3 linked regions of the Saccharomyces cerevisiae S288C genome follow. The gene in region 3 interacts genetically with the main gene of each other region. Each region holds a gene or a part of one and is shown on either strand. Other genes may lie near its edges.

Region 1 (6,770 bases), 160 kb from region 3:
CCTCATTTTTGCATTTGCCGTCATCTTATGTTTCCTTCTTACCACATTACTTGCATTTTTTCTCAGACTGTCCTTTTATGTGAAACATTACAAATATATTGGAATGTACATACTCCTATCTAAAAATCTTTTTGTTTTCGAAAAAGTGTTGATAAATACATATATACGTTTTTTATCTAAATCAGATCGCCTTAATTGGCCTCGAAAATATTGGTCAACTTAACTTAGAGCGTCAAAGAATATGAATATTCATCTTCAACATTTTGGGCTATCCATAAAACAACGCAACTCAATAATATGCATACATTCCCCAACACATTGTTTACTCCCATCCCCAAAGTTGGATAGGTATTGTAATCCTTGACTAAAAATTTGATGATCAACACGACAATGGAGCCTGATAGCCCACCAGCTAATAAAGCAAAGCCAAAAAATAAAACGGTTCGAGCTTGCCATGCCATGCTTGAATCTAAATCGCCTACACCACTACCGAAGGCACCACCATCTGACGATAAAGCTCCCTGCAATAATCTATTCTTTTCAATAGAATTCACAATCAATGTTCCCAGTGTGCTGCAAAGAAAAGGAATCCAGTCAATGAACGTAACATGAACATCTGATGCATTGGAATATCTAGAATAGAGCACTGCGTCTAGAAATATCCAAAAGCCTAGAGCATAGAGAGCACCTGAAAGATAGACCCCACCTTTTCTTATACCACGAAAGGTGGGAATCTTGAAGGGGAAGCGAAATAAGCTAACATGATCATCTGCCTCCATGATGATGTGATTTTCTAATTGATCTTGTAGTTGGGGATAAAGAGTTCTGACCTTTAACTATATGCCCTATACTTGCCTTCTTTATGAAAGGGGCGCTGCACATTATTATTTCTGATTTAGTGAATAAGGTAGGGTAACAAATTCCAGAAGAGAATCGCAGTTCATTTTTACGAAAATGGTCATTAACAAAAGGTCAATAGTAGTATATATCAAGGTGAATGATCTTTAAATGAGGTTTTACTAATTTTCCTAGTTAAATATATATATTTCACTATCGAATGATTGACCGGATTGTACTATTTCTAAATAGGAAACGCCAAACTCAATAAACGAAAAAACATACAAAAAATGGGGTAAAAGATAATACTATTATCTTTGCCCAAGAGTGAAGAGTTAGAATACAGGTCCACTTGTTCTGGGTCTAACGTTCTTAAGCATGACATGGTCATGGAATGATTTTGGAAACTGCTGCCAAGGTCACGGCTAGATCACTAAAATTTAAGTGTAAAAAATGTGAAACGCCAAAATCGTAGATGCACGCCTCTGTGACTTAAATCTTCTATCTTTATCACATCACTAATCAGTCGTAGCGGCTATATCTACTAGGAAGACTTGCAACTGATTTGTTTGAAGGACCGGCTCTTACATTTATATTTTTGGAACGATCATTGAATCTCTTGTTTCTTTTTGGCAAGAAGCTCGAAATAACCGATTTGGCTCCACTTTCAGCGGCCTCGTTAAGTGTTGCAGGAGGGTCTATTCTTTTAATCCAATAGCTGGCCAAGAACCAACCAAGGACGGCCAGCAAAAGCAGCACACCCAATATCCCAAACCACCACGCGATACTGGAATTCTCCCCCGGAACTTTAACATTCATACCGAAAAGACCAGTGATAACATTTAATGGAACTAGCATTGTACCTATCATGGTGACTTTACCCAACATTTCTGTCACTTTATTATTAGAATTAAATGATTCCACTTGCAGTTGAGCTAAGTAGTTTGTATGGGATCTAGAAAAAATTTTTTCGTACGCCAGCAAATTTTGAAACATTGTCAACAAATGATCTTGAATATCACCCAAGTATAGGGCGATATCCCCCCTCGGTTGTGATGTGGTGGGCGCATAATTATTTGGTACAGTTGTCGAACTATTATTTTTGATATGACTGGCGTTATCCTGCCTTGCCTGTAAGTTAGCAATATTTATTTGAGATGTTAGTGCCGGTCCAATACCATTAGCTTCATCTTGGCATCTTTTGGCAAACATTTTGATAACATCAGCCTTACCACTAAGAAGTCTCATCAACGTCATTGTCTTACGCCTACTTTCACCAATTCTTTGTAACATTGCTGCAAAATCCATGTCACGAGCCATGAACACAGAATCTTCGATTGCATCTGCTTCATATTCAATAGATTGAATTACAGGAGCGAAACTATCAGTAATGTCATCGATTAAAGCATAACATAACCAATCTGAATTGACATTGACATAGTCACGTAACTGTCTTACACGCCTTCTGACATTAGCACAATGAGATATTGGGCCAAAATGGAATGTTAAAACACCTGACCTACAGACAACAATGTAAACGTTAATAGGTTCCAGGAAATCCTCTGATTCTTTATCATTTTCAAAGGTATGGAAACAAACGAAGTAATACGATTTGAAAAGTTCCACCTTTTCACGTGTTTCTTGCATTCTGATATCTTCTGCAGTCAATGGATGGATACCAAACGCCTTTGCTATGCAACGCATTTCATCATCAGTTGGACAACTACAATCTAACCACCATGTTGGCTCACCTCCCCTGAATAATTCATAGAATGTTTGTCCCTCAGACACTAAGGAAGGGATATCACTAGCATGAACGGTTTCATCAGATTCGGAACAGAAAAAAGAAAATCTATTAGGAATTTGAAAGTCTGTACCCTGGTAAGAGCAATACGCCGGGTCATTGGATGGAATGTTTTCATTCTCTTCCCCTTCAACTTTATTTTTACCGAAAGATATACCAGGGTGTAAACTAGGCTTGATTTTCTCATGCTCGTCTTCCTTCTTTTCATGGATTTCTGTTTCATTGGTACTCTCGCTCTTTTCACCAGTCTGCGAAACTCTTGGTGTATATTTTAGGGCAGCTGATGATCCCGAAGTGGAAGTAGAGCTGGTAAACCCGATATCCTGAGAAACGTTACTGTACTTCTGTTCGTTGGGCACTTGCAGACTTGCCAAAAATTGACTCTTCTCCGCGTTTGCAAACTGAGCGTACTCTTCCAGTTCATCGAAATCTATACCGTTAACTCTGGTATGCAATTGTGGTGGCATAGGGAAACAAACATCTTCTTCCGTCTCTTGAGAATCTCTCGACGCCTGTGATACGTCACTATCAAAAGAAGCTCTAGTATTCATACGTACTGGTTTTCTTTCCAATGTATCATCATCTGCATCCGATTTTTGGGATGTGCTTTTCGTCAGTAAAACTGCGGGATTGATAGATGAATGCGCAGATGTGGTAGAATATGTCCTCTTCTTGGGTTTAGCCAGCTTGGAGTGTGTATCAGATTTCGATTCGTGTGGGATCTCAAGAACAGGACTGACCAGCGAAGATTTTCTAACCTTCGTAATAGGACTTGCCGAGGAAGATGCGCTCAGCTTGGATTTGTTACCTGATGATGCAGTAGAAGATGACATAGTATAGTCTCTCTTTACACCTACATCCTTTGGTGGTGTGTGTATATTACTTTCCACATAAAGCTGCCTTTGATGTGGCATGGAGTGGGCTAGTCTGGAAGGCCTCGCGTTAGAAGTTAAAATGGCAGATGCCCTCAATTGATGATGAGCAACCGTTTCATCCATACCCTGCCCTTCATCTTCAAAATCCATGCGGCCCCTACTGGGTACGCTTCCCACATCCACATGGCTGTTGTATCTCGTTGCACTCTTCTGCTCCTTAGGAATAGAAGGTTTAGTGGACTTAGCAATTTCCTTGTTCTTCAATGTTGGAGGTTGGTGACGGACCGGCAGTGAGTCAGGGTGCTGCCTATGGTCGTACAATCCCGTATGGTCTTCTGTTTTCATGGAAACCATCGTGTTAGCCAGTGAGTTTGACCGCGATAAATTAGGCGATGACTCTGATGAACTTGAGGATGATGACATGGTAAAATGCTTTTACGCTTTCTAGCAATATTCGATGATCTTTGAGAAGAAGTAATGGTATCCTTTTGTTGAATTTATGTTCAACTAACAGTATACTTCCATGTAGAAATATTTTATATAATACCTGTCTCTTGTCAGGATGATATTTTTCTTGCTTATAGAAGGAAAAACTCAACTAATCAGGGCACTCTTTCTAATTTTGAGTCTATATTGAAGGATGGCCTTGCACACTACGTTTTCTACTGTTAAGTCAGTTTATCCAGAAAAAGAAAAGTGTTCATAGGATAGGAACGTACGTTATTATGCATAATTAGTTCGATGGACCATGTTCCAGAGAAAATTTTAATTTCAGATATCGTTTTTGTATCTCAAAGCGGACGGGCTGAGTAAAAACGTGCTTGCGATATTTGCAATTTTATGAGGAATAAAAAAGAAAAAAGGAGGGGTAGCATTTAGCATATTAAGGATCATTGAGTCCCATGTATTACGGCAATTAAATGAGTAGATGCTGCCAGAGTACTGAAATTTTTAGGCAATTTTTGGCTTTAGTTGTGTCTACCGCCAGTTGAATGGAGCTATAAAACAAGTCTAGGTGAACCTACGCTGACATTTTGAAATTAATCAATTAAAATCAGTTTTTGATACATGCGTTATGTAATCCTTAGCGTAGAAGACCCTACTTGTTTCCTATAGAGGAAAAGGTTGTATATTTTAGAGATTCGTCCATTCAAGGGGTTGCATATAGGGGGGACATACTATAACGGAAAATACTAGTTCAAAGCGTTGCCCTCGAAAAAGAGACGGAGGAGTACGTAGAACAATACATAAACACACAATATACCATCGGAGAACAACAAGTTGTTCCAAAAAAGCAGTCGTCCTAGAGTGAGGCTATCATAGCGTAGACGCCTAAATACTTAACACTCTCAAACAAAAGTTCATCTTACGCATTTCATAGCTTGGTCAAAGAGTTAATGAGATAAAATCTCAAAGATTAGTAGAAAAGTTAGGATCGGAACTATTTTGATTCGGTTCTAATTTCCTAGTATTGCGAATCTACCGTGTTCTCTTCATCCTCCCCCTGCGATGAGCTTGGTGGAACGGGAGGGGGTGAATCCAAACATTTAAAGCCTTGAATCAAGGGCACATGTTCTTCCTCCAGGTCAGGGCTAAATATTCTACACCTAGATCGCTCTAACTGTGATTGCGCGTCATTTATCTTTATCTCTGGAAATACCTTTGTTTCCATGCGAATCCGTTTGGCAACTTTACTGAGGTTGAACCTTAAGTTCCATACAGAATGTGCTAGTTCTGCTCTTTGCAAAACCTTATCTTGGACTTCGTCTTGTGCTATCTTATTAGTATTCATTCTCTGTCTATCTTATCTTCTACGACTACTACTGCCAGGTCTTTATCTAAATAAGAAGTGGCAAAAGGATACTTAAAAGCTCGGCGGCAAAAGTTTCTCGGCCACTAATTTACCCTAATGGACTCGTACTGTGCATATAAAACACATATCATACCGAGTAAAGAAGTCACCCCAAGAAGAACTTAACTGGAAATTCCTGCATAGCGTTATTTCAGAGAGTGTTATAGGCTCTGATTTTTATCACGTTTAGCAATAGCCATAGTCACTTTTTTAAATATGTATTTACTCTTTAAAAAGGGAGAACGACATTAAAGTCTAAAAAAATAAACTAAAAGTAAAAAAAAGCAAACACAACCCAAGAGGTAACAATGGGCCGGAAATAGAGGCAGAATTCCGGTGTTTTCGTTTTAAATCATCTTTGTCTTCATCTGCGTCTTCTTGTTCTTCTCCTTCCAGGTCTGCCAATGTCAGGCTTTGCCTAATTTCAATCTTTTTGGGCCCATTCCATCTGTCACCATGCTTGTCTAAAATCGTGACATTGGTGGACAGCTGATCCTCGTGAATATCTATGTATTTGCCTTTTTCAACTTTCACGCCTTTTTTTATCAAAGAACTTCCTAAATTTTTAGCAATTTTAGATTCAATCTTCAAATTTTCATAATCTTCCGCACATGATGGCGTCTCCTCCATCTGAACAGTTTCCTTTAAAGTCTTCATAGAAGGAAACTCAATGTTTTGGTAGTGCGATTTAAGCTTCTCAAAATCTGCTAAGAGCTGTACTGAATCATCTTCTTGATATTCAACTAACCCATAATTATTATCCTCCTGTGAAAATTCGTAAACCAGACCTCCACAGAATACTGAATACATCTCCTCAGAAAACAAATAACCTATTTCCTGGAATTGCCTTGGCAATACTTTATTGCATCCAAATTCTGAAAAAAAAACTGGCTTGGAATAGCTCCTGTAAGCATCCACCAATGTATCGTACCCTGAAGTTTGCATAGTTTGTTGGCCACACCATTGGTAGGAGTTAACTCCGTAAAAATCAACGCTATTCTCTGGCTTATCATCATCTTTACACTCCAAATATTCGGACAGTGATACCCTATAGTTCAGGTCATCTGCAGCAGAGTAACCTACCGGAATTGTTCTGGGCGAGTGTGCGCTTATGTAATTCTTCATAGTTCCAATCAACTCCTTGACATAGGCAGGAGAATATTGTGCTGATCTTTTGTCGTTTACAATTTCATTCCCAGCAAAAAATCCTAAAGTATTATTGTAATGAGAAAATTGTTCGACAACCTTGAAAACGTGTTCTAAATAAACTTCATTATAGGTAGTCCAAGGTTCATATCTGTTTAAGTGCTGGTTTTGCAATGGGGAATTGACATCCAATATAAGATAGATACCTGCCATTGCGAGCATAGTCATGCACGCATCATGGTTCAGGTCCGGGTTT
Region 2 (5,615 bases), on a different chromosome or scaffold from region 3:
TCACTCTCCGATACTGATGTAAATTTGGAAAATGCACCGCCAATTCAAAATAGAATATCGCTATTGAGGACCAATACCGTGGAGTCTTTTGTATCAATGAGAAAAGCCTCTACTATGCAGGTTGAGTCCACCTATGATAACCGTTTCATGGTCCATAATATCGAGTTAAAAATCGATAATAAAATCAGGCATCACCTTTTGGAATACGCTTCCAGTGCTTTCGAAAGGAAATCTATGAGGTTTGCTGTGACTTATAAATCCGTAACTATTTTAAAAGAATTACTGGGAAATGTGTTGACTGGGGTCAGAACATCTGTAGAAGATTATGGTTCAATACTTGAGGACGATTTAGCCAGTAATTCAGAATTTATTGAGCACTTTGAGAAACTCATCAGAGAAGTTCCGAGTGATGACTTTGATTATGTTGATAATTATCTTTTTAGACTAATCTCCCCTCAGGTTCAGATCAAATCGGACGTTGAAAGGAACGCAGCAGTTATTTTAGCTGCTAGGGATATAGAAATGGGAATAATTGATATAGTTCAAGTGTATGGAAAATCAGGAAAAAGAATTCCCGTTGACGTCGATACTATTGTTGAAACTCGCTATTCCGCTGTTTCAAAGGACATTCAGTTGTTTACATTGTTCAAAAAGGATTTAGAGGGTCCTGAAGGTAGATTTTTCCATAAAAATGGATATGGTTCCGACAAAGAGTCAGATATATGGCCCCCATGGATTCCTCTTGAAATGTGCTTTGACGGGTCTTTATTAGATAAGCATGTTTTTCTAAAACGGAGATCAATGTTTTTGACCTACGTCGCTCCCAATCCCCTATTTTTTAGTGCAAATGATACGTCTGCATTCTCTTATGATTCGAGATTTCGTATTGCATTTCCAGGATTGGTTCTGACCTCGGACTGTCAACAATACTGCGCTGTATATGCAATCGCAGAAGATTTACTTTCCTTTGGATCATCATTGGATGAAAAAGTTGAGAAACTTTCCAGGATATTATTTACTGATGAGGTCAGAAATAACCTGGAAAATCTTGATGTCTCTGTTGTCACAGCATTACAAGAAAGAATAAAGGAACTCTATTATACGCGAGCATACCTCAAACTTCACGAGCCAAGATTGTTTATGAAATCAGGACAAGAGCTAACCTTCGATATTCAAACTAGTACGTTGAAGTTGACGTTACTTATGACGGCAATCAAGAAAACTTACGACCGGATGGGGAGTGGTAATAGAGTAATACAGAAAAGATTGAGGTGGCAAGTTGGAACAGATGAATTGATATGGGAATTGTACGATGAGAGTAAAACTCCTTTCGTGACTATCGGATTGGGGCCCTCTACATTTATTCGTTCAGAAACTTCCGATGGCACTAATAGTAATAAAGTATCCATTTCTTCCTTACAATGTTTCAACCAGCAAGAAAATCCCGTTTACACTGAATTGCTGGCCCCCTTTTATGAAAATTCATCCTATAATAAGAACGCGCCAATGGTAGAAATTTTTTGGATCCTGGGGCCATCAGTTGGAGGTATTTCAGATCTGCAAGATTTGATTGTTTCTCTACAGCCATTGATTTTCAAGATGGATCACAAAACATCGGAAAAACTAATGAATTATCTATTTCCAAAGATAGAACAAACTTCCATAGAACCCAATTCTCCAGAACTTGTACCACGTTCTTCCACTAGTTCCTTCTTTTCATCGTCTCCAGTTTTACGGCACAGTCTTTCTAACGGTTCTTTATCTGTGTACGATGCGAAAGACGTTGACTCTTGGGACTTGCGTAGTATCCAGAGCAAAGAAGGTATCAAAAAGCATAAGGGTGATCATAGAAAATTGTCAGCATCACTTTTTGTGCAACCTGATTATAACATCAATGAAATGGTCAAAAGATCAGGGACATTTTTCAATGTAAAATCTATTATAATCCGAAAAACTCTAATGTCCGTGTGTTATAAGGGTTCACACAGCCTTTTGACCGATGTTAATAACCTGATTGTTAGAGTCCCTGTTTTAAAGTACCATAACAAACTGTGGTCGAGGGAAGAATTTTTTACTGCTTTGAAAAGAGACGTCGTAAGAATAGTTTTACAACATTTGGGAAATATTATTGGTAACAAATTTTTGCCTCATAAAAAAGAGAATAAGAAAAAAACTTCTATGGAAATACATCGATTACTAAGTCCAGATTCTCAAAATCGTGATAATTCACATATCCTTGAAGTCGAAGGGCATAATTCATTTTATAGCTCCACGCACTCTTCAGATATCAGATCAATAAACTCAGATGAAACGTATAATGAAAATGATGGAAATGGAGTAAAGCCATTTTACCCTGTTACGAGTGAGTTTTCAAAAAATAAATGAGGAAACACACACATGTGTCTAGCGTAAATATTCTTCAGTTATATAGTAATTGTATTATATACTAAAATGAAAATCAGTAAGATTTTTTTTTTACAGGCCTTCTTGGCGTTAGTTTTTCCGGTTTTTCACTTACTAAGATGAGATGATGGGGCGCACGGCCAAAGTATTCCCCATTCATCAATTTAGCATGCTAGAATAAAAAGATTAAGAGCAATATCTACGACCGACAAAGTGATCTATCAAACTGCTGACAAAAAATGTCGTTGGAAGCCATCGTCTTTGATAGATCGGAGCCAGAAAATGTTTCGGTAAAGGTACTTGATCAATTACTTTTACCATATACTACTAAATACGTTCCAATTCACACAATTGATGATGGGTACTCAGTCATCAAAAGTATGCAGGTGAGAGGTGCCCCGGCAATTGCAATTGTGGGTTCGTTATCTGTTTTGACTGAGGTACAATTAATAAAACACAACCCAACTTCTGATGTTGCTACGCTGTATTCTTTAGTTAACTGGGAATCTACAAAAACAGTGCTAAATAAGAGGCTAGATTTCCTTTTGAGTAGTAGACCCACAGCCGTTAATTTATCAAATTCTCTTGTAGAGATAAAGAACATACTGAAATCCTCAAGTGACCTAAAGGCTTTTGACGGTAGTTTATATAATTACGTCTGTGAATTGATAGATGAGGATTTGGCGAATAACATGAAAATGGGTGATAATGGAGCTAAGTATTTGATTGACGTGTTACAAAAGGACGGTTTCAAGGACGAATTTGCCGTTCTGACGATTTGTAATACTGGATCCTTAGCAACCTCTGGATATGGCACGGCTTTAGGTGTTATCCGTTCTTTGTGGAAGGATTCACTTGCTAAAACCGACAAGGCAGACTCGGGATTGGACAATGAAAAATGCCCGAGGATGGGCCATGTCTTCCCACTGGAAACTAGACCTTATAATCAAGGGTCAAGGCTAACAGCATACGAGCTAGTTTATGATAAGATTCCATCAACTTTAATTACTGATAGTTCCATCGCGTATAGAATTAGAACTAGTCCAATTCCAATCAAAGCAGCATTTGTTGGAGCTGATAGAATTGTTCGTAATGGGGATACAGCAAATAAAATTGGTACTTTACAACTTGCTGTAATTTGTAAGCAGTTCGGAATTAAGTTTTTTGTAGTAGCTCCCAAAACAACTATCGATAATGTAACCGAAACTGGCGATGACATTATTGTGGAAGAACGTAACCCTGAGGAATTCAAGGTTGTTACTGGTACAGTAATTAATCCTGAAAATGGTTCCTTGATATTGAATGAGTCAGGAGAGCCAATCACTGGAAAGGTCGGTATTGCCCCTCTTGAAATCAATGTCTGGAATCCAGCCTTCGACATTACTCCACATGAGCTTATTGACGGAATTATCACAGAAGAAGGTGTATTTACCAAAAATTCCAGTGGTGAATTTCAACTGGAAAGCCTTTTCTAGATATCATTCTAATTAGACTCTCGAAATAATTACTTTTGTACTGTAAAGGATAAAATTTCATATTGAGATGTAAGAATTATTTTTTTTTTTCATTCAATAAAAGGAACACATTAATGTATATTGTCAGAACCTTGTAAGTCCAAAACACTATAACCAACTGATACAATATGTATTGTCTTTGTTTCTGCATATTTGTAAAACGTGCAAAAAAGTAAAGAACTCCTCATAGGGGGCTCGAACCCCTGACATTTCGGTATCCTTGCTTAAGCAAATGCGCTTAAAAGCCGAACGCTCTACCAACTGAGCTAACAAGGATGAGTTCTTCGGAGCGTGTTGTATCTCAAAATGAGATATGTCAGTATGACAATACGTCATCCTGAACGTTCATAAAACACATATGAAACAACCTTATAACAAAACGAACAACATGAGACAAAACCCGTCCTTCCCTAGCTGAACTACCCAAAAGTATAAATGCCTGAACAATTAGTTTAGATCCGAGATTCCGCGTTTCCACCACTTAGTATGATTCATATTTTATATAGTATATAAGATAAGTAACATTCCGTGAATTAATCTGATAAACTGTTTTAACAACTGGTTACTTCCCTAAGACTGTTTATATTAGGATTGTCAAGACACTCCGGTATTACTCGAGCCCGTAATACAACAGAGCGTCCTTAATAAATATTTCTATAAATATTTGATGTTTACCTTCCGAAAAAGGTACATTGCCAACCTTATTTGATAAATGTGTAAACTAAGATAAGTGTTGAGATCGGATTTTGATAAAGGCATTTGTTTGGGGTGTATGAGTTGGGAAAAGAAACAACAATCATCTCTTGACCAGTTTTCCTACTACTAGTGTGTTATCATATAGCGTAAGAGTATGACATAGAGATTGAGAAACAGAAACTGAATCATAACGAACATCACAGAATTTACATTTCTACACAATTTTCAGAAAAAGTGGAGTGGTGATATATGCTTATTGTTCTACAAGTTCTCTTCATGCGTTTTTGTTTATCTATCTTATTGAATTATTATCTTCATGCATTTATACTTATTAAATTCGATGAACATTTCATATTATTTTTATATGCTTCATAATTCATGTTACTACGATCTATACAGAGTATTATCGTAATGTCTTACCTTTAGCTTGTCACTTAACACATGCACTGCATTTCGAAAAGATGCTTAAGCAAGTTTATCATAATTTGGGAGTGTTCGGTGAATTTATACAGAAAGCCCCTCCAACGTCTTATTGATAATGTATATTTAGTTCATTTACCAAAATACTATCAATTCATCAACCTCCAAGTGGTTTTGACTAAACAGCCCACAATTGACATATGTGACTGCTAAGCAGACCTTTCTTGAAGTAAATTTCAGGGAAACTAAGCTACGGCCTTTCCAAAATATGGGCAGGAACTGCTTAATCCTTTCCTTTTATTAGATAAGCACTTTAGTATTTTTGTTTTTCATGGCCTTATCCTACGTTATTGTCGTGAAAGAAATGGCAGAAATTTCTGTTGTACATAAATTACTAACTGCCTTACCTTGAAAACGGTTTTATTACAAAAATAGGGGTCAAGTGTTTTGTTATCCCTGTTGTTGTTGTTTTATAAGTCCTAATCTCGCTTGAATATCGCCCATATTCACACCCTGTTCTTGACCGTCTACTAAGGTGCCTTAGGGGGACTCAAACTTAAGATCGCCTTCTACGCGTTTTAT
Region 3 (5,618 bases):
CTTTTATGTATGTTTTTAAAAAATTTCCTTTCTATCCTTATTACATTAAGATTTTTAAGCGATAGTAGGATCGGAAATATAAGCACTCGTTTATGATATAAATAGGTCAAGAATTTCGTAAAGTAAAATCAATACATATGTGAATCTTTTTTTTTTTTTTTTTGGGACTGCTATTGGTATTTTTTTAGCGTCACGTTAATCAGCCCAATTATGTGGGGGTTATGCAAGAAGCATTTTCCGAGCAATAAAATTCAAGTGCAGGAGAGAAACAAAGCATTAAAACCAAAGAAGAGTGGCAGCGAACATAAGACAAAGCAACTGTTTCCTGTATTCAATTGCAAGAAGAAGGAAAAAGGGGTAATGATACGGTTTGCGATTCTACGTAATGCTAACACATCTCTACTGTCCGCGAGAAGTATATGCTTATTTACCCAGGCGCCTACCTATTGTCATGTAAGGTTGAATACCTTGAATAAAAGCATTACAACTAAAAGAAATTCATTGACAGAGTCGAAAAGGCATGTCCATGATGGCAAGCATTTTTTTACGACGCCACATCAACAGCAACAGACGAAGTTGGGGGAAATTGAAGAGGGACACAGTCCTAACATAAAAGGAGAGGACTTGAGAAGCATTGGTCAAGCAATAACACATCAGCGAAACAAGCGCCGAAAGCAAATATGGTCCGCCATATTTGGTGGTATATTCGGTGTGATATTAGGATACTCACTAATCTATAGAGTGATATATTTAAAGGAACAAAGTTTCTTACCATTGTTTCCATCATCCAAGATACGTAAACTGAGTACCAGAGATTTGAAAAAGGTTGACGTAAACCAAGTACAGAAGCTTTCTAAATTAAGGGTTTTAGAGATATTATCCGGTCATGACATGATCAAGGAACAATACGGAGTACCATTGCTTGATAAAGATGGCAATTCACCCACGTTAAATGAATTCAGCATGTGGTGCGAAGATCAAGATCCATGTGTAACTGGTATTGTAATGGAGCCAGACGATAAAAGGGATAGTTCGCACACTTGGTATAGAATACCCTTTGTTTGCAAATGGAGGATAACGCATCGGCCAATAAGTATACGGGGAACCATCGACGATTTACTGAACCGCATTGGTTTGGAAACAGCCGATTTATTTGAGATTATATCGCCGGAGAGGGTATACGGGTCGTTCAAGTACGAATACCCACTGCAGGGGGACTCACATGCATTACACCTTTGGTTTCATGGCGAAATCGAACTGGACGATGATTCTTTGATTGTATATAATGGAAAATACCACGTTGATGTTAAATTGCAAGAAATCGACCTCTTCAGACGTGAAAAGAACGGACAACTAATACAGTACGTTCTATACAAAAACGAAGCGGGCGACAAGTAAGAAAAATGTAAATATTTTTATCACAATTATGATTATTATCGTTATTAAACTACTTATTTTCGGTTACGTAGATGAAATAGTGTTATATAAGAATATTTGAGAAAGTAAAACTGATAAATAAATATAATGGAATGAAAAAATAGAGACGAACTGGAAGAAGAGAAAAAAAATTAAAGCACCAAATTTACTACTCTGGGGCCTATAGATGGAATATCAAAGGGGAAGATGAGAAAAGAAATTATACATTTCAGAAACGTCAATAGGGTATCATCATCGTGGCAGTAAGCGGCGTTTTTCCTAAATCAAAAAGGCCAAAGCACCACCAACAGCAGCACCGACGACTCCGGCGTTTAGTAGTTGACCATTTTGAGCGTGCAAAGCAGGAGCAGCGTTACTCGTGGTGTTGGATGCGTTTTGAGCATTTACGCTAGTAGCGAGGCCGAAGACAGAGATGGCAGAAATGAAAACTTGTGATACTTTCATGTTTAAATCGATATTAAATTAGCGTGCTTGCTTGGAGGGCTTTTCAGAATGAAAAAAAAAAGAATGAAGAAAGAATTAACCAAAGAATGGAGGTTATGTGTAAGAAATGGCATTTATATATACATTTATATAAAAATGTATAAACATACTTGCATTATTGATGTCCCATAAGGGGTGAGAAAAGACAAAAATGGAAACAGGGGAAAAGAAGAAGAGTAAAAAAAGGATTATTTTAGGAGAGAAAGGGGATTAGAAGAACATCGGGCATAAACCTTTGAGCATCATCCTTTATTGATGTTTGACACCTTGCGATTGATGAAAAATATTGATGATATTAAGGTATTTCTGATAGCCACTGCCCCGTCCCTTGAAGCGGCCTTCCGTCGAGGCCTTGGCAACCGTGTCTGGGTGTGTGATATATTACATCAGAGGAAATAAAAGCTTGAGCGGCTAAACTCCCTTAGCTCAGGGGTGGTCTGGCCAGGAATTTTCAGTGGCCATTTTTCCTGTTCCGGGTCCGGCCAATCTGTGCCGGTTTTCTCTAGAGGAAAAAAAAAAGCATGCGGGGTAATGATGTAGAAGATATACAAGCGGGTTAAACTACATTAGTTATGAGTGCTAGAAAGCAAGCGAAGGATAATAGAAGAGGGCTATTCTATGTAAGTATGAGGAGACACAAATGGCGGCTTTTCATATTTTCTTCTGCAATTTCATATAGAAAAGGTGGTAGTCGTCCAGATCATAAACAATTTTGTCTAACTTGATGTAGTCGGGCAGTGACTCGTTGATGCTTAGTAGTTTTTGGAAGGATTGGTTCTGATAATTTTTGGTAAAAAAGGTCATCGAGAACTCTCTTGGTTGAAAAACGTTCAGAATATGTAGAAGAACGTCCAAGTTGTCTTGCTTCCCTTGGGAAATGTCAAATACGGGTATGTTACTTTCGAAAGAGGCGTAAGACCAACCCTTTTCCGGAGTCACGTGCAGGGTGTAATAGTATTTTTCAGCGAGAATCATATTGGATGAGTATCCACATGGCGTGAACGCAAATGCATCGTGGTGAAATGATAAATCGGAGTCTTGGGCCGAGTTGACATATATTTCGTCAAGCCTTGTATTTTTAGTCATTTGGTAGCCGAGGTTGTGGCCCTTATCTTCGTTTGGCTCCACGAGAGCGGTTGTGGATGCCTCAGGCCCGCAAACAAACTTACTAGCGCATTCTGGGTCCAGCTCCGTCATCAGTACTTCGAAAGTTTCGTCGTCATCCTCGATGTACTCCTTTCCCTTAGGTGTGGAGCGGTCCGTCTCGGTGACGTACAGGTTCCAGTGGTTGCTCTTGTCATTTCTTCCCACGGAATAACTTTTACCATTGTCGAAAAATTTGTTCAAATAGTCGACTTCGTCAGCCCAGTTTTGATGGATAGCGGCTTGCTTACAGGGGAAAAGGAAACATCGTCTAGAATAAAACACTTTAAATGGTTTGTACTTGCCCCCTTGTGTTGTGCGGAAAGCCCACGATAACTCTTGCTCAACGATCTGGAAAAGCTTTTCGAGACAGAACAATGTGGTTGTAGTACCGCACGTCTTCATCGTCAATTTGTGATCGAAGACGAAGAGGGAAGACTCACTCAACAAAAAGGCATCCAGTTCTTTAGTCTTCTTCATGGAAAGAACTTCGCATTTCACTAATTTCAAAATCTCGATCCATCTATCCATGCCAATATTTCTTAATGTCTTTTCGGTCGTGATGGACTTCTTGTGAGGGAAGAACCAGATTTCCAGCAACTTCTCGGGACCCTCGAACGCATCCGTTGAGTCTAAAGTGGCTGATAGTTCGTGGTCAATGTAGTTGTGGTTAGTCAATTCTTTTATGGTGACAGTCATTCTATGGTCCGCCTATTTGCGTAAGACACTATATGAAAACCTAAAAAATATAAAAAAGAAGCTACAGTACAGTAATTGATTAACCTGGAAGAAAAAAAAGAAAAAAAGAGTTGATGCAAGGAGCGAGCTGTAGCGAATACAATATATACACGTATAGATATGCAGAGATGCTTTTAGTCGATTAGCAAAGTTTATTCGATGCCTAAATACCGGAGAACCGTGTTTGGAATTTTTTTTCTTCGAGTGGAAAAAAGTGAAAATTTCCAAAGTCAATCATTGTGTACGTACGCTGAAATTGGATGCAGAAGAGGTAAAAGGCGAAGGAAAAGAGGGCGAGGGTAAAAAGCCTGATTGCCAAACCATGGTGCCCAATTTATTGGATATTACTACTGATGGAAGGCTACATATCTCTGGCGCTTTCTATCAGCTGTCATCGATTTGAAATTCTTCTAGCCCTAGGAACGCCATTATGGGGCTTATCCGGGTAGCCAGTTGGCGGTTTTAGTTTTTTCACTTCTTGATTTTTTTCTAGTTCGAAGAATTTTTTCCACTGATGATTGAGCTATAAAAGAGCCTGATTAAGATGAAGAGCTCCGATTCTCTTCGTTAACGGAGCATCAAACATGACGTTAGCGTCAAGTAACCTACGATATTTGTGCAACAGACATGATGGAGTACCCTCATGCTTTGGCGCGTGCGCATCTATATAAGGTTAGGGACTGCAAAAGAAGCGGCGAGGCAGCCCACATCAAGTGGAACTACACAGACTTCCTTGTCGCGATACTACGGTCCCAAGAGCAATCCTAACAAGCAATTACATATTCCCCCGCTGAACCTGTACAGTCCACGGATGGTGCAGAAGTTATATGATTTGGGGGAAGACGCTTTTTCACATCTTCTTGCATGATAAGAGTAGTAGTAACTAAGTAATATGATTCAGTCAGTCTCTAGTTAATATAATTAGGCATTACCCTACATTGTGGCGGCCTCTTTTTTATTTCGAATCGGGCCTTCCTTCCACCCCGGCCCCGGTTGCGTCGATCAGAAAATTATATTATGGATGAGGATGATGAAGGTGCTTAACCTTTACAGTCAAACTTTTAATAGTCAACCATTCACAAGGACTAGGAATTTGTCTCTGGAAACAGCTGGTTCCACAAAGAAGTACTTCCACGACATTGCTATATACTTGTGCTGGTATATTTTTCTTTGTTAGTTAAACCCCATTTTTATAAGCGTATCGTTTCGTATAGTGCCGTACTCAAAGATCAAGGATTAAAACGCTATTTCTTTTAAATCTGCTATGTCTGCTGCTCCTGTCCAAGACAAAGACACTCTGTCCAATGCCGAGCGTGCGAAGAACGTCAACGGGTTGCTTCAGGTGCTCATGGACATTAACACTCTGAACGGAGGGAGCTCCGACACTGCTGATAAGATAAGAATTCATGCCAAAAACTTCGAGGCAGCTTTGTTCGCAAAGAGCTCTTCAAAGAAAGAATACATGGACAGCATGAACGAAAAAGTTGCTGTCATGCGCAACACGTACAATACGAGGAAAAACGCCGTTACTGCTGCTGCCGCTAATAACAACATTAAACCCGTGGAACAGCACCATATTAACAACTTGAAAAATTCTGGCAACAGCGCCAATAATATGAATGTCAATATGAATCTAAACCCACAGATGTTCTTGAATCAGCAGGCTCAGGCAAGGCAACAGGTTGCGCAACAATTAAGAAATCAACAACAACAACAACAACAGCAGCAGCAGCAACAGAGGCGTCAATTGACTCCTCAACAACAACAATTAGTGAACCAGATGAAAGTGGCACCTATTCCCAAACAATTACTGCAAA

The links.
Region 1: mutations in SPE2 (region 3) and ALR1 impair growth when combined (synthetic growth defect), as found in Saccharomyces cerevisiae (one study listed by BioGRID).
Region 2: of SPE2 (region 3) and MRI1, changing one enhances a phenotype caused by changing the other (phenotypic enhancement), as found in Saccharomyces cerevisiae (one study listed by BioGRID).

What each region holds. Positions count from the first base shown.
Region 1 is NC_001147.6:71,569-78,338, reverse strand, and holds ALR1 (Mg(2+) transporter ALR1), read right to left. Parts: upstream 3,940-6,770; coding exon 1,360-3,939; downstream 1-1,359. Other genes in the region: VPS68 (Vps68p), read right to left, coding at 225-779; YOL131W (uncharacterized protein), read right to left, coding at 4,982-5,308; GAS4 (1,3-beta-glucanosyltransferase), read right to left, coding at 5,624-6,770. UniProt on the Saccharomyces cerevisiae protein: Plasma membrane magnesium transporter.
Region 2 is NC_001148.4:765,110-770,724, forward strand, and holds MRI1 (S-methyl-5-thioribose-1-phosphate isomerase MRI1), read left to right. Parts: upstream 1-2,642; coding exon 2,643-3,878; downstream 3,879-5,615. Other genes in the region: HOB2 (Hob2p), read left to right, coding at 1-2,385. UniProt on the Saccharomyces cerevisiae protein: Catalyzes the interconversion of methylthioribose-1-phosphate (MTR-1-P) into methylthioribulose-1-phosphate (MTRu-1-P).
Region 3 is NC_001147.6:229,875-235,492, forward strand, and holds SPE2 (adenosylmethionine decarboxylase SPE2), read right to left. Parts: upstream 3,763-5,618; coding exon 2,572-3,762; downstream 1-2,571. Other genes in the region: AIM39 (Aim39p), read left to right, coding at 211-1,398; DDR2 (Ddr2p), read right to left, coding at 1,696-1,881; GAL11 (Gal11p), read left to right, coding at 5,066-5,618.